Caenorhabditis elegans: one gene and its partners. The protein of the gene in region 3 purifies or fractionates together with the protein of the main gene of each other region. This does not show direct contact. Each region holds a gene or a part of one and is shown on either strand. Other genes may lie near its edges. The genes, in order: ZK402.5, Y79H2A.12 and F09E5.8.

The links.
Region 1: the proteins of F09E5.8 (region 3) and ZK402.5 fractionate together in Caenorhabditis elegans (co-fractionation; one large-scale study listed by BioGRID). This does not show direct contact.
Region 2: the proteins of F09E5.8 (region 3) and Y79H2A.12 fractionate together in Caenorhabditis elegans (co-fractionation; one large-scale study listed by BioGRID). This does not show direct contact.

Annotation. Positions count from the first base shown.
Region 1 is NC_003284.9:1,398,198-1,402,913, forward strand, and holds ZK402.5 (SPK domain-containing protein), read right to left. Parts: upstream 3,163-4,716; 5' UTR 3,046-3,162; intron 2,434-3,045; 5' UTR 2,342-2,433; coding exon 2,334-2,341; intron 2,287-2,333; coding exon 2,005-2,286; intron 1,961-2,004; coding exon 1,847-1,960; intron 1,799-1,846; coding exon 1,535-1,798; intron 1,484-1,534; coding exon 967-1,483; intron 918-966; coding exon 627-917; downstream 1-626.
Region 2 is NC_003281.10:12,024,759-12,030,784, forward strand, and holds Y79H2A.12 (Serpentine Receptor, class BC (Class B-like)), read right to left. Parts: upstream 4,112-6,026; 5' UTR 4,054-4,111; coding exon 4,036-4,053; intron 3,980-4,035; coding exon 3,776-3,979; intron 2,446-3,775; coding exon 2,250-2,445; intron 911-2,249; coding exon 801-910; 3' UTR 593-800; downstream 1-592. Other genes in the region: brp-1 (uncharacterized protein), read left to right, coding at 110-418; Y79H2A.2 (MARVEL domain-containing protein), read right to left, coding at 4,258-4,358, 5,119-5,223, 5,290-5,347, 5,394-5,588, 5,847-5,876, 5,933-5,947.
Region 3 is NC_003280.10:5,348,550-5,352,506, forward strand, and holds F09E5.8 (Pyridoxal phosphate homeostasis protein), read left to right. Parts: upstream 1-2,119; 5' UTR 2,120-2,126; coding exon 2,127-2,212; intron 2,213-2,263; coding exon 2,264-2,363; intron 2,364-2,415; coding exon 2,416-2,496; intron 2,497-2,549; coding exon 2,550-2,630; intron 2,631-2,675; coding exon 2,676-2,860; intron 2,861-3,043; coding exon 3,044-3,114; intron 3,115-3,254; coding exon 3,255-3,385; 3' UTR 3,386-3,444; downstream 3,445-3,957. Other genes in the region: F09E5.7 (PI31_Prot_N domain-containing protein), read left to right, coding at 3,560-3,625, 3,673-3,835, 3,881-3,957. UniProt on the Caenorhabditis elegans protein: Pyridoxal 5'-phosphate (PLP)-binding protein, which may be involved in intracellular homeostatic regulation of pyridoxal 5'-phosphate (PLP), the active form of vitamin B6.

The DNA of each region.
Region 1 (4,716 bases), on a different chromosome or scaffold from region 3:
AAAAAATAATAAAATTAAAATTCAGCTAATTTCACTCGGTATATTAAAAATTCATATTTACTTTTATTGTTTTTTTAACGGGCAATTCAAATATCTGTAGTGTTGAGTTTTGTATTATATTTTGGTGAAATATGTACTGCAAAATACAAGAAATTAATTAGGTTCATTCATAGAGAACACTTTAAAAATCTAGGAAACGGTAAATAAACTCCCAAGAATTACAAGTATCATTATAACAAAAATTATTCTTTCTGGCCACAGCATTTCCTCTATCGTTTCCATTTCTGCATCAATCACATCAGCCATCCCGAATGTCCTTAACAACTGAAAAAAAACAGTTAAAAATTCTAATGAAAAATTCTTTCTTAGGGTGAAAAATACGTTCTGGGTAAAAAATCATAACGTTTTTCCTATCGATTTTCCCGATTTTTTGGGAACTCGTTTTTCAGGCTCTCGCCTGTCCAATGGTGCACCTTGTCAGCTTTTATCTGAGTTTTGATAGGTGGATTTCGCATAAATTGGGCAAACATGCAAGAATTGAAAAAAAAAACCATTAAAAATGTTTTCGAATTTTTTTTTGTTGGACGAACTTTATTGATTTTTCATACAACTTTAAAAAAAAAGACCTAACATAGTCTAAGGAAACTTAGAACACACAAATCATTCGAATTTGAAATGTCAAAAATTCTTTTGAAAAATGGGGGGTGGGAGGGGGGAGGGGATGAGTTCAACCCTCCACCACGGGAAATTTTTTTGCGAATTTTTTCATCCCAAAAAAAAAAGGAAAAAAAGGTCCATTGAACTTGAGAAGGAAATCCTTGACCTACATAGCAGGGACAAGCGGTTGCTTTGATTTTTCGATTGATCGTGATGAGGAATGCCTCGAAAACTCCACGAAGCTCGGCAAATAGGATTTTCTGAAAATCGAATTTTCAAAATAATTTTTTTTCCATGAGAACTGTAAACCTTATCAACATTAGTTCCAATTGACTTTTTGATTTGTTGCTTGAGCTCCTCGAGTTCCCTACTTTTGAGAAAGCAAATGAACTGGGTCAGTTGTTTCAGGAATTCAGACATATTAATGGGTTCATCTGAAGTGGCTCCAGTATTCGCGGAAAGACTGATTTGTTGACGATCGAAGCGTGGAACACCAGTTTTTTGTTCTTCTTGCACATGATCGCTATTCGAATTATGTGGTGCAAATCCTTCGAAGATTGGTTCAGGCTTCGGCTGTCCCTTCATCGCTCCGATGTATTGCACCTCATCGTCGTCACTGTCCAATTGAAGAGATTTCACATAAATAGTTGGCTGATTGTTCTCTTCCATCATCACTTCTTTATATTCTTGCGAATGATCGATGAGCAAATTATAGGTTGAATCTCTATTGAGGAGTTCTTCAAAATCGAAATCAACTGGCTCAGGCTTCGGATATCCGTCCACAGTTTCAATAATCTCCAGATCATCGTCGTCGTCACTCGAGCTCCTGAAAATAATCAAATAAAATACTGCGTAATATGAAATTGACAGGATATACATTTCAGTTCTCGCTCTTTTCGGAGATCTAGGAAGAGAAGTCGCCGAATCTACGCCATCTTCGTCGCTCTCGGCTTGGTTCGTCGTCTGACTTGCATTCATGACCATGTGCACGTGTCGACCAGCCTTTCGGTGATATGCAGATGTTCTTTTCATTCTTGCCGAATGACTGTGGTCCGCCTCCAACTTCAGCTTTCCATCACGTGATGCATACTCGCAAATTCGTTTGCCATCATTGAGCACGACAATTCCCTCCGTTTGAACTCTGTAAATCACTATTCGTTAACTCAAAAACCTTTTTAAAATTTTTTACTGTGTCAGAAAGTCGTCCGAAACTTCTCCAACAAGCCCAAGCATCACTCGGAGACGGCTTTCAATACTGTAATTGTCCAGTTGATCCATGTTTGGCGCAAGCTTTTTATGGAATCTAAATCTAAATTTATTAAAGAGAACCAGGTATAATATTCTCACTTTCGATAATAGGCTCCATCCGAACATCTGGCATTTTCTTTTTTACCGAACTCCATGAAAACTTTTGTTGCCACCAGTGGCTCATTGGCTTCTTTCGTCTTTTCAACAAGAAACGTCATCAATCTTACGTCATCGGCGGAGAGCATGATCTTCGTTGACCTCTTTCGTGCTGCCTTAGAAGATTTACTGTGGATTCTTTCCAACGTGAGTTTTCCGTCGCGTGACTTATAATTGCAGATTCGCATTTTCTTGTCAATCTTAACAGTGCCAGTCGATTTGATCCTGCAACAAACTAAATTCATAAATCTGAAGGTAACATCTCTCCTCACAATGTCATGAACTTGTCCGACACTTTTGCCGACAAGGCAAACGTCACTTGAATGCGTGACACGACACTGTATTCGTTTTTTTCGTTTTATGTTCCGACCCCTACAATACTTTAATACGAATAATTGAAACAAAATTACAATATAAAAAGTTTAAGTTTTAAAAAAATTTTTGGTCGACTTCCAGAATTATGAGTGGCAAAAAATGAGTTGTCAATCGTCATTTTTTGACAGTAAATAAAAAATTTCAAAAAAATTTTAAAAAGTTTTGTTGTGATATTTGGTCATTTTGGCATCATATTAATAGTTTTCTAATAGTTTTAGCACTTTTCCCACTGGCGCTACTCCACAGCATTTTTGAATGCTTTTCTTAAACTCTTTGAGTATTCCTACACAGTATTTTAAACTTAAAATAATCAATCCACCTTATATCAAAGTTAATAAGCAATATTTGAAAAATTTTAATGTTTCATAATAGAATTTAAAGAGTATAGCACTATCTCAGCGGTTTTAAATAATTTTCACCAATGACAAACACCTACTTTTAAAAATTAAAAAAATTTGAGAAGAAAAGCCCGAAAATTCAAATAAAGTGATAACCAAGAGTGTTATCAGTTTTCCAATTTAATAAATTTCTCAAAATTTAGCAACAAATTGCATATTTTGAAATAAAATTCCCACTTACCTGTTGAAACAAATTCAAAAAAAAACTTACTTTTCTACCAATTAATATTACTAAAGTAAAAATAGGAATAACATTAGAAAAGGTTCATATAGAAAACTAGAAGAATAGAAGAGGGTCACCACCAGTAACCCAAGTAAAACAAAGAATGATTGGAAATGTAGAATGTTGCTGTGCAGCTGCTAACGCCAAGGTTATATGAACACAGTGAGTCATTCTTTTCTACGTACCTATCTAGACGGTGACAACATGTTTGAGGGTTTTATGGTGGGGTGACAATATGTTGTCGACTAAAGGAATCCATCCATCAATATTTACCAATATGAATAATATTTCGAATATATTGTAATTTAGGAAGTTCTCGGAATACATGTGACTTGAATAATACAACTTTGAATGGGGTTATTCAAATAGTGTCGGAAAATTAAAAAGTGTTGAAAAATTACGTCACAACTGTAGGTATTAAAGGTGGGGTACCGAAATCTAGGAAATATTTTTAAATAACTCCAAATTTTCCCCTGATTCCGAACATCTATGTGAACAAATTAAAAAAATCCCTGATTATATATTTGATCTTGAAATCGCGTTTTTCATTTGCGTACCCATGAGATTTTTCAAATGCGCGCAAATAAAACTATACAAAAATTATTTTAGAGATTGAAAAACGTTGCCCCTATTATGTTGTCCCGAGGTAGAGTTGGCCACAGGACTGGGACCAAAAAAAGTTTGGACCAAAAAACAAAAATTGAAATTTTTGAAAAACCAAAAAAAAAAAAACGAAAATAAATTACGATGCTTAAGGATTCGTATTAAAGTATTGTAGGGGTCGGAACATAAAACGAAAAAAACGAATACAGTGTCGTGTCACGCATTCAAGTGACGTTTGCCTTGTCGGCAAAAGTGTCGGACAAGTTCATGACATTGTGAGGAGAGATGTTACCTTCAGATTTATGAATTTAGTTTGTTGCAGGATCAAATCGACTGGCACTGTTAAGATTGACAAGAAAATGCGAATCTGCAATTATAAGTCACGCGACGGAAAACTCACGTTGGAAAGAATCCACAGTAAATCTTCTAAGGCAGCACGAAAGAGGTCAACGAAGATCATGCTCTCCGCCGATGACGTAAGATTGATGACGTTTCTTGTTGAAAAGACGAAAGAAGCCAATGAGCCACTGGTGGCAACAAAAGTTTTCATGGAGTTCGGTAAAAAAGAAAATGCCAGATGTTCGGATGGAGCCTATTATCGAAAGTGAGAATATTATACCTGGTTCTCTTTAATAAATTTAGATTTAGATTCCATAAAAAGCTTGCGCCAAACATGGATCAACTGGACAATTACAGTATTGAAAGCCGTGTCCGAGTGATGCTTGGGCTTGCTGGAGAAGTTTCGGACGACTTTCAGTAGTATGTGGAGCTAAATTTCCCACCCCCAGCCAGGGAGCTAAATTTCGCACCTGCCACTCAAACCGCGTTCATGCACCGATTTTTTTCAAATCTATATCGTTTTCTTCGTCAGGAGAACAGAGAATTACGCAAAATAATTCTCAATCTCGAGGCCCTGGATGAGATTGAAGGACTCATTAGAGTATGGTGAGTTTTTTTTCTTAGTCTTTTTTTACCTTACCCTACCGTTTACAGGACAGAATAAATGCTTCTGGTCTCCTTGCCATTCAAGTCACCATTCAAGTGCCACCGTGTCTG
Region 2 (6,026 bases), on a different chromosome or scaffold from region 3:
CAAAATTTCCGGCAAATTGACAAACCGGCAATTTGCCAAATTTGCCGAACGGCAATTTCCGGCCCACCCCTGTTTTGTGCTCACTGAGGCATAATGAGTAATATTCCAGGCGGCCAACAAAGAGCTCAACTCAGCCACCCCATCAACCACCGAAGAGCCAGAACTCGAAGGAAAGGGAGCAATTGTGATTGAGGACAGCTTCCCAAGAATCGAAGAACGCACCACAACACCTGAACCAATGGAATCTGAAGAAGATGCTGAACATACATCATCTGAAGATAATCATGAGAAGGAGTTGGATCCATTCGCAGCTGTTCTCAAATTCTTCGAGAACAATCCACCACGTGAGGCTCTCGAGGCAGCAGGGGCTGAGACAGCAGCAACCACTCAGAAACCATTGAAACCACTGATTGTTTGAGAATTTTAATTTTGAGCTGAGCTAAAAAAAAATAATTTTCGAATGTAATAATTGTTATACAATTCGTCCTCCCCCGATTATTTTCCATCATCATCATCATCCCATCTTTTACGCGTGCAGGTTTGTAAATAAAATTATTCGCTGTTGAATTTGTATTTGCAAATCAAGAAAAAAAAAGTATTTATTTCAGAACGTGTGGTGTCAGAGTGTCCCATGTTGGTTTGATCTACGTAGATCTACAAAAAATGCGGCAGAGTTCTCAACTGATTTCGCATGGTTAAGAACGTGCTGACGTCACACTTTTTTTGGCAAAAAATTGCCGCATTTTTTGTAGATCAAACCGTGGTGGGACAGCCTGGCACCACGTGTTTCCAAGGAACTTTCAAAACTTCATCACATTTGTTAAATCCGACTGTCTAACCAGCATCCCATTCTCGATTCGTTTTGCATAGACGTAACATCGATTGATTAGAATGAATTTGATTATTGATACTGAAAAATTTTTAAACAATTTTTCGCTTTAAATTACAGAATATACGCCTAGAATATATGACCAAATATGACTGTGAAAATTTTTTCAAAAATGTCCTAAACTTTTAGTGAATTTTTACATATTTCAAAATTCATAGAAACGACCGAATTAAATTTGAAACATTTGAATTCCCGCGCAAATGAGTGACGTCATTTTCGATATTTTGGCAAATCGGCAAAATGGCGAAATTGAAATTTCCGGCAAATCGGCAAAATGGCGATATTGAAATTTCCGGCAAATCGGGAAAAGGGCGAAATTGAAATTTCTGGCAAATTGCCGGAATTGAACTTTCCCGAAAATTGTCAAGTTGCCGATGTTGAAATTTCCGGCAAATCTGTAAATTGCCGGAATTGAAATTTCCGGCAAATCGGCAAAATGGCGAAATTGAAATTTCCGGCAAATCGGCAAAATGGCGAAATTGAAATTTCCGGCAAATCGGGAAAAGGGCGAAATTGAACTTTCCCGAAAATTGTCAAGTTGCCGATGTTGAAATTTCCGGCAAATCTGTAAATTGCCGGAATTGAAATTTCCGGCAAATCGGCAAAATGGCGAAATTGAAATTTCCGGCAAATCGGCAAAATGGCGAAATTGAAATTTCCGGCAAATCGGGAAAAGGGCGAAATTGAACTTTCCCGAAAATTGTCAAGTTGCCGATGTTGAAATTTCCGGCAAATCTGTAAATTTCCGGAATTGAAATTTCCGGCAAATCGGGAAAAGGGCGAAATTTAAATTTCCGGCAAATCGGCAAAATGGCGAAATTTAAATTTCCGGCAAATCGGCAAAATGGCGAAATTGAAATTTCCGGCAAATCGGCAAAATGGCGAAATTTAAATTTCCGGCAAATCGGGAAAAGGGCGAAATTGAAATTTCTGGCAAATTGCCGGAATTGAACTTTCCCGAAAATTGTCAAGTTGCCGATGTTGAAATTTCCGGCAAATCTGTAAATTGCCGGAATTGAAATTTCCGGCAAATCGGCAAATCACCGGAATTTTCTGGCAAATCTGCAAAAGAAAAATAAATAAAACCAGAAGAGTTTAGCCAGAAAAAGCGAAAATATCGAAAATGACGTCACGTATTTGCGCGGGAATTCGAAAAAAATCATTTGAAAAATTAGGATTTTTTATTTATTTTTACAATTATATCGGACATTAGGGGTTTTTCAGTCATTTAAAAATAATAGCGAAAAATTTTCTGACTCTACTCCGCCTTTGAATAAAAATTAAAAGATTGCTAGTTCGAAAAATGTTTGAAAAAAGTTATATGATGAATTTTCGGAATTAATTTAATTCAAAAACCCACATGTAACAGAAATTGTCATGATTATTTCCACAGAATATCCTGTCAAAAGCCCAATGACAAAACGATCCTCTTCCGCCGTTTTTACGCCGAGAAAGTTAGGATACGTATCATTTGATTCGTATCCTGACGCCACTTGACTTGAAAAATAAACTGGAGTTACAAGGATTTCGCCGAATTCGAATGCAAGTTGGAATATCTACAAAAAAAAACATTTTTAAAGAAGTGGAGTAGCGCCACTAGAGGAAATTGTTCTGATCAAATATTAGGGCTTCCATGGTACGGCTCCATTGCCTGACGCCTGCCTGAAACCTGCCCGCCTGCATTTTTAAGTGAATTTACAAATTTCTAATTTTCTCGTTATATCAATTTGATGAAAATCAAATTAAGAAATGCAAAAAAAATTCACGTATACATACATCAGCATAAGGCGCGGAGTAAGGCGAGAGGCAGGCGAGGGTCGCCTTATGGTCAGGCAGGCAGGCAGGCGTTTTAGCGCATATATGGAAGCCCTGCCGAATATCATAGCAAAAATTCGAAAATCTGCTCTAAATTTTGTATGCTTTTTTTAATGGAAAAATCTATTTTTGCCACTTTTTTGGAAGTTGTCGACAAATGTTTGTTTTTCAAATTTTATGTCCTATCTGGCAATTGCCGATCTGCTAATTTTCGGCAAGTCGGAAAATTGCCAGTTGGCCGGTTTGCCGGAATTTTTCATTTTCAGCACTTTGCCGATTTGCAGATTTGCGAAAATTTTCAATTCCGGCAATTTGCCGATTAGCCGTTTGCCGGCTAGCAATTTGCCGAATGTTTTAGAGGGATTTTATAAGACGGAAAACTTAAAACTGTGCCTTTTTGAAATTCAAATTTTTGCCGGTTTGCCGATTTGCCGGAAATTTTAATTCCGGCAATCTGCCAATTTGAAATTACCGGCAAATTGTGGTTTTGCACTTTTTTTTGGCAATTTCAGAACTTCAGAATTACAATATTAGTCGGCAAAATTGTACCGTGCCGACTATATATAAATAAAAACAAAACCACAATATGTCAAAAATTTTCGGCAGTTGCCTTTTTTCCGGCACACTCGGCAAAAAATGCCGGTTTGCCGATTTGCCGGAAATTTTCAATTCCGGCATTTTACCGGTTTGCCGATTTGCCGGAAATTTTAAATCCGACAATTTGCCGGTTTGCCGATTTGCCGGAAATTTTAAATCCGACAATTCGCCGTTTTGCCGATTTGCCAGAAATTTTAAATCCGACAATTCGCCGGTTTGCCGAGTCGTCGTTTGCCGGAAAAAAGATATATCGTTTGCCGCCCTTCCCTGATTCAAATACTGCAGGATTTAAATATTCTCAAAGTGGCAAAAACTCTGTAATTGCCACTTTTGGGCGGTCAATAAAAATGTTAAGTAAAAAATTTGAAAAGTTTTACTATGATATTCGCTAATTTTGGCGCCATCAGAGTAGTTTTTTTTGGCAATTTCTACGCTGCTCCACCTTTATATTAAAAAATTTCCCAACACCATTACCGATATATACATTGCAATTTTCAATAGAGACGCTCGATTCTTGACAACACTGTATAGAATGACAAGTGTCAGAATTGCGGATATAGTTCCAGTCGTTCTTGTAATACGATCCTCATTCAACACCGTCTGCCATCCACACAAAAATAATTCAAATATTGAGAAAAAAATTATGACGTGGCGGGTTTGAACGCAAAAAATACGGGGCTAGAAACAACTTTTTAAAATTTTTATTTCAATTTTTTCTTTCATTTCTAACTTACCGGGCCACCATAAGACATTGCTAATTCATTTGGTATAAAAATTTCCGAAAAAAAAAACGGAAAATTTTTGCAGTGTAGAAAAATCAATGGTTAATATTCAAAACGTATTAACCTCAAAAACTGGTTATCCCTCTCGAAACATATTATTAATCCTCTTTGGATGACTGTTTTGTTTTCAATTTTTTCAAGAACTTTATCACGAACTTTTTCACATTTTAATAATTATTTAATATTATGAACTGTAATCCGGGGTCCCGCAGCGACACGTGGTAGTTTTGTCCAACGATAGACTGTTAGGACAGCGTAATATCTCACGAGCAACACTGGAAAAAAAATTAAATTTATTTGAAATTTTTTTGACTTCAGGAGCGCATGCCTACCTCCTGCCTGCCTACATACTGATCCATTGCCTGTCTGCCTATGTCCACACCTAATTTCTACATGCCTACATAGGTTCATCCTTTATGATGCCCACCTGCCTATGCTTACTTCATGCCTACCTGATGACTGAATGCCTACGTGTTTGCCTACGTGGCCATCTCATTTTTGACTGCCTACGTTCCAATCCATGTGCCTACGGCATGCCTCTTTGCGTGCGTGCCTACTACATTTGCCTACTCTATGCCTATTTGCCTACCCCTTTCGCATTCCTCAAACTTCCCTCATTTCTACCTTCATACCTACCAGATGCCGGCCTACGTACCTTCATTCGTGCATCTTTTATGATGCCTACTTTAGTGCATACTTCACGCCTGCCTCCGTATATCTGCCTGCCTATGTGCCTACTAACGTGCCTACTTTATACCTAGCAGCTTGCAAGCATACCTGATCCTTGCCTATACTTACCACATACCTATTTGCCTACCTGCCTACTTTATACATATCTCATTACCTAATCCCTGCTTGCCTAACTTAAGCATTTACCTTATGTCCAACTACATTCCTATGTACCAATCTTCGTGCCCATCCACTTCATGCCTACAGCCTACGTGCCTACTTTATGCCTACCTTCTGCATGCCTCGCGCCTGACTGCCTACATGCTTACCTGCTTGCCTTTACTGTTAATTTTAATTTCAACTCACATATCAGAACAGCAATAGCTATGAGCTCCATCACGATTGATCTGTCAAGCGCTTCATCTTCATTATCGATACCTAGCTTGGCTTTCAGTGTGGTCATTGATGAGACTGAATAGTTTTTTTTTCCAGATATGTAATAAATTAGGAGCTTTGAGTTAAAAGAAACCCACTCACTTGCAAATTTTAAAACTGAAAGGTTGGCACAAAGTGTGAAAGCGGCAATGTTGATGGCCTGTTAATTTGAATTTTTGAAGAAGGGATTTTTTAAAGAAGCTCACCAAGATCACCAATGAAATGAAAATTAGGAATTTGCATTCTAGGATAATTATTGTAATGAGAACAAGTTCAAGAACAGCTCCAATTATCATTCCGATTGAGATTGCCCATTTATGTGCTTCAATTGGAGCCAAATCGAAAATCCAGTTGACAATTGGAAGAATCAGGAATATTATGGTTATCACGATAGCCACGACCTGAATGATTTTGATGACTCATACATTTTTCAATTTTTTTCCTTGAAAAAAACACGGGGTTCTGGCCTTCCTCATTGTAACTTTTCGTGCTCCATTGACAATCGCCTGCCGGACAAGGAAAGTCGTGTGTACTCCACGAGCCGCGACGTGACACGCAACGCGCCGTAAATCTACCCCAAATATGGCCTGGCCTAGTTCGGCAAACTCTTCCATTTCAATTTATGAGGGAAGCCAGAAATCCGTGGCCAGCAGACAAACCTTTGCCAGCTTAACACTTTTTGGTGTGGTCTGAAAATTTCGAAAAATTAAATTTTGAAAAAAAAAATTAGCAAAATTTCTCTTACCCAGAAAATAGGCATGTTTTTGTTCGGAAAGAAGCGAAAAAAAGGAAAATCAAATACGAAACGTGTCGTATTCTTTTATACAAAAGATATTTAT
Region 3 (3,957 bases):
TTTAATAAATATAACCAACGTTTACCTGAAAATACGTATTTTGGTTGGATTCCACTACGTAGGAAAGATAGGAACAAACGTCTGTACAAATCTTCTTTGGCAGAGCCACACAAAGCAAAAACCAATGGAACTGCCACGTTCGTATCGAGATCCTGCAATGTCATTGGTTGACATCAAAATACCTTTCAATTAATACGCACCGTGACTGTTGCGATGTAAAGCTGTCGATAATTTTTCGGAATTTCTGAGAATTTCCCATCCAAATGCAAGCTGTGCGCACCATACAAAGATTCAGCTTCCTCTGCTTGCCACACAACTAGCAAATCCTTATTAGACTCAAACGTTCCAGAACTGTCTAAACAACATTTTCCTCCTTTAAAATAGGCAGAATCGAGGGCTGGTGGAAAACTATTCGTCGATTTCCTACTCAGCATACCGTCCAGTATGCGACTGATTTCTTTCTGGAAAAAGTATATGTTTTATTGATTCCACGATTTATTATTTACGTTGCTCTTGAGAAGTTCAACAACTTCATATCTTTTTGAAAGTGTAACAGCAAGCTCATAAAGGCGTTCTTTTGATGGTGAAGAAGACATTGATGAAACTGCGATTTTTCTCATAATTAATTGCACCTAAAATATAAATTTAGTTTTGAAAAACGTAAATTTCAGTATACTGCAATTTCGCTTCTCCTCGATTCGTGATCACAATCACGACTGACTTTCACATGGCCTGTCTCAGTCTTGATACGCACGGATCCGGGGCACTTTCTCGAGTTTTCCAGTGTAACGTTACATCTGAAATAAATTAATGAAATGTGTGACAATTTTTTCCTAGCGATAATTCACCTAGCCACAATGTCCCCATTTTTCAGTGTTTCTCTCGGACGATAGCTTTGATTGTTGAAAATGACCAATGGAGCTCCTCGTTTCGTCGAAATACTGAAATTGCATAGTTTCTATGTTTAATTGTTTTAGAAGTTAGAAGGCATACCAAAAATCTGAACTATTCTCGCTGATATATTCCGGTGCCATTTCAAGCACCCCTCTTGGGCTATTGGCAATCGGTCTATAGTGCATCAGAGAACGTAACACGTGTGACTTGCTGGAATTTTATATTTTGATAGAGTTATTGATTAATAACAACCTATTTGTCAAAAACCAATCCGGATGGTATGGAGTCTCTTCGTCTTCAAACGGAGATTGATATGAATTGTGACCTAAAAATACAACGTCTGTTATTTCTATTTAATTATTAGTTAAGACCTACACAGAAGATTGAATTCACTTGTTTCCTGTAGATCGTGATCCATTTCTTCGGGAAATACAGCTGGATAAAAATCAAAAAATCTTTCAGTATTTGCCATGGAATCTGTTGTATCCAAGCTTGTTTCCTGAGTAGAATTGGCTATTGAATCGCATTCCGGGATATCGTCAGTGGATCTCGGCTCATCGAGCTCTCGAGAATTTGAAGGAAACTGCATATACGAATCAGACCGACGTGGTGATGCAGGTGGAGTAACCAGATCGATTGTTGCAGGAGTCGATTCACATACATTTGTAGTAGACGCTTTCGGATTTCTTTTCTTCTTTAGATCCCTGTCGAACGCTGAAAAATACTTTTCACTCTTCAATTAATCTTTAGACATCAATACTTGCCTCTAAAAAAGCGTTTGGCTCCGCTTGGATCACTCTCAGCATCAAGTTCTTCTTTTTTCCGGGAAGGAAACGCTCATTTTCGATTAATATTAATTTTGATCGATTCGAAATCGAATGAAACCCGTTTTTGTCATCGAAAATTCTGAAAATATCCGTATTTAGCTCGAATAAAACTAATTAATTTCCATTAAAAATCCGTTTTTAATTGAATTCCGTTCGAAATTTCCTGTTGGAAAAATAAATAAATAAATACGAAGAAGCGTGCGGCGCATTGCAAAAAGCCGTGCGGCGCATTGCGAAGGACTGTGCGGCGGGCTTGCGAAAAGGCGCGCCGCACATTGCCCTACTGAAAGCGTTCCTTACGAAAAAATCCCCTTACGAAAACGTACCCCCTCTAGAAATTTCTTATTTTGTTGTTTCCTTCCTTTTCCGTGTTTAGAACTAAATAATATAGTTTTCAGGTAGAAAATGTCTATAGAAATTGTACAAAAAAGTCTATTCAACATTATTGAAGCCGTTGCCGACGCCGTTACTGCTTCGCAAGCCACAAAAAGGTTGGTAAACCGGAAATTATTGCGAAACTAAATTAATAATGAATTTTTCAGATGTCGACTTGTTGCTGTCAGTAAAACAAAGTCTGCTGATTTAATAGAGGCATGTTATTCTCAAAATCAGCGTCATTTTGGAGAGAATTACGTCCAAGAAGTGAGAGAAAAATCATCAACAAAACTTTTGAAAATGATTCCTTATTGTTCAGCTTGAAGAAAAATCTGATGTTTTGGCGTCAAAATGTTTAGATATTCGTTGGCATTTTATCGGACAAGTGCAATCAAATAAAGTTAGTTCTGATGGAAAATTTACCTTATTTATTAATCATTTAAAAATTTTTAGATTGGAAAAATTTGCAATTCTCCTGGACTTTGGTGTGTTGAAACAGTGGAGACTGAGAAACATGCTCGGATTTTCGACAAGGTGTGTTTAGTGACTATTAATCTATTTTAATTAAATATCTTGAAGGAATGGTCAAAACACGGAGCCAATTTGTCACCACTACGAGTTCTCGTGCAAGTAAATACATCCGGAGAAGATAATAAAGGAGGAATCGAGATTGGAGAAGCACCGAAACTTGCGGAATTCATTCGAAAAGAATGCCAAAACTTGAAATTTGATGGATTCATGACTATCGGATCGTTTGACAACAGGTATATATTTATTTATTGTTACGACTATCCTACTAAAAAGTTGTTCAGTGGCAGGTGAAATGGAAATAGGTGTAAGAAATGATGAAAATGAACGTTTTATATTAATTATTACTTGTAAATAATGATCAAGCTAACAAGCGATAAATTAAATATTTACCATAAAATAAAAGTTCAATTTTACAGCCACGCAAGCGGAGAAAATCCGGATTTCGAGAAGCTCTTCAAAGTCCGACAAACATGGGCAGAACAAACAGGTGAACAGATTTTCTAGAAAAATCAAAGCGAGAACCGTCAGTGGTTGACGTCAAAAAATAAAACTTATGCTTCAAGAAATGTTTTGAAATGTTGGATCCACAAAGTTTCTAAACAAAAACTTGAAAAGTATTGATTTCAGGTGAATCTGCGGATTCAGTAGAACTCTCAATGGGAATGTCCGATGATTTCCTTCAAGCAATTCATCAAGGTGCAACAAGTGTTCGAGTGGGAAGCAAGCTGTTCGGAGCCAGAGAATACAAAAATAAATAGATTTACATTCCATTTTTTAGTTTGTTATTTTTTTAGTATTTAAAGAAAATTCACTATTCAAATTCACTTTTTTTTTAATTACCAGATTCCAATTCAGTTGCTGTTACTGTTTAAATACCTTTCTTTTGAATTGAACTTTTCAGTTCCTTCAGCATTTTTTTCAGTCACAGAATAATGGATAATTTCCGATCGGAAATTCTCAAGGAAACTCGAGAATTAATGCTCAATGAGCAGCAACATGTAGGTTAATTCTTTACTTTTAAGCAAATTAAGCGTGATTCATTCAGGAGGAAAGCATGAAATCTTGGAACGGACCTGAAACGAAAGGATTTGAATTAAAATTCGGAGGCACCAAGCGAGGAGTTCCACAGAACTCTGGAGTAGTTGGTCAGGTTTTCATCAGTGAGGATGGAGGATTTGAAGCAATCATAACTGGATATGTCATAAAAAGTAAGTTTTGAAAATAAAATTGTCAGTTATAATTCGATTTTTCAGACAGTCTCCGTTCCATCGCAGCTTCTTTCACAGTAACTCCTTCGTCTTCTCTGAAATCTGATTTGTCGGAAGGTCTT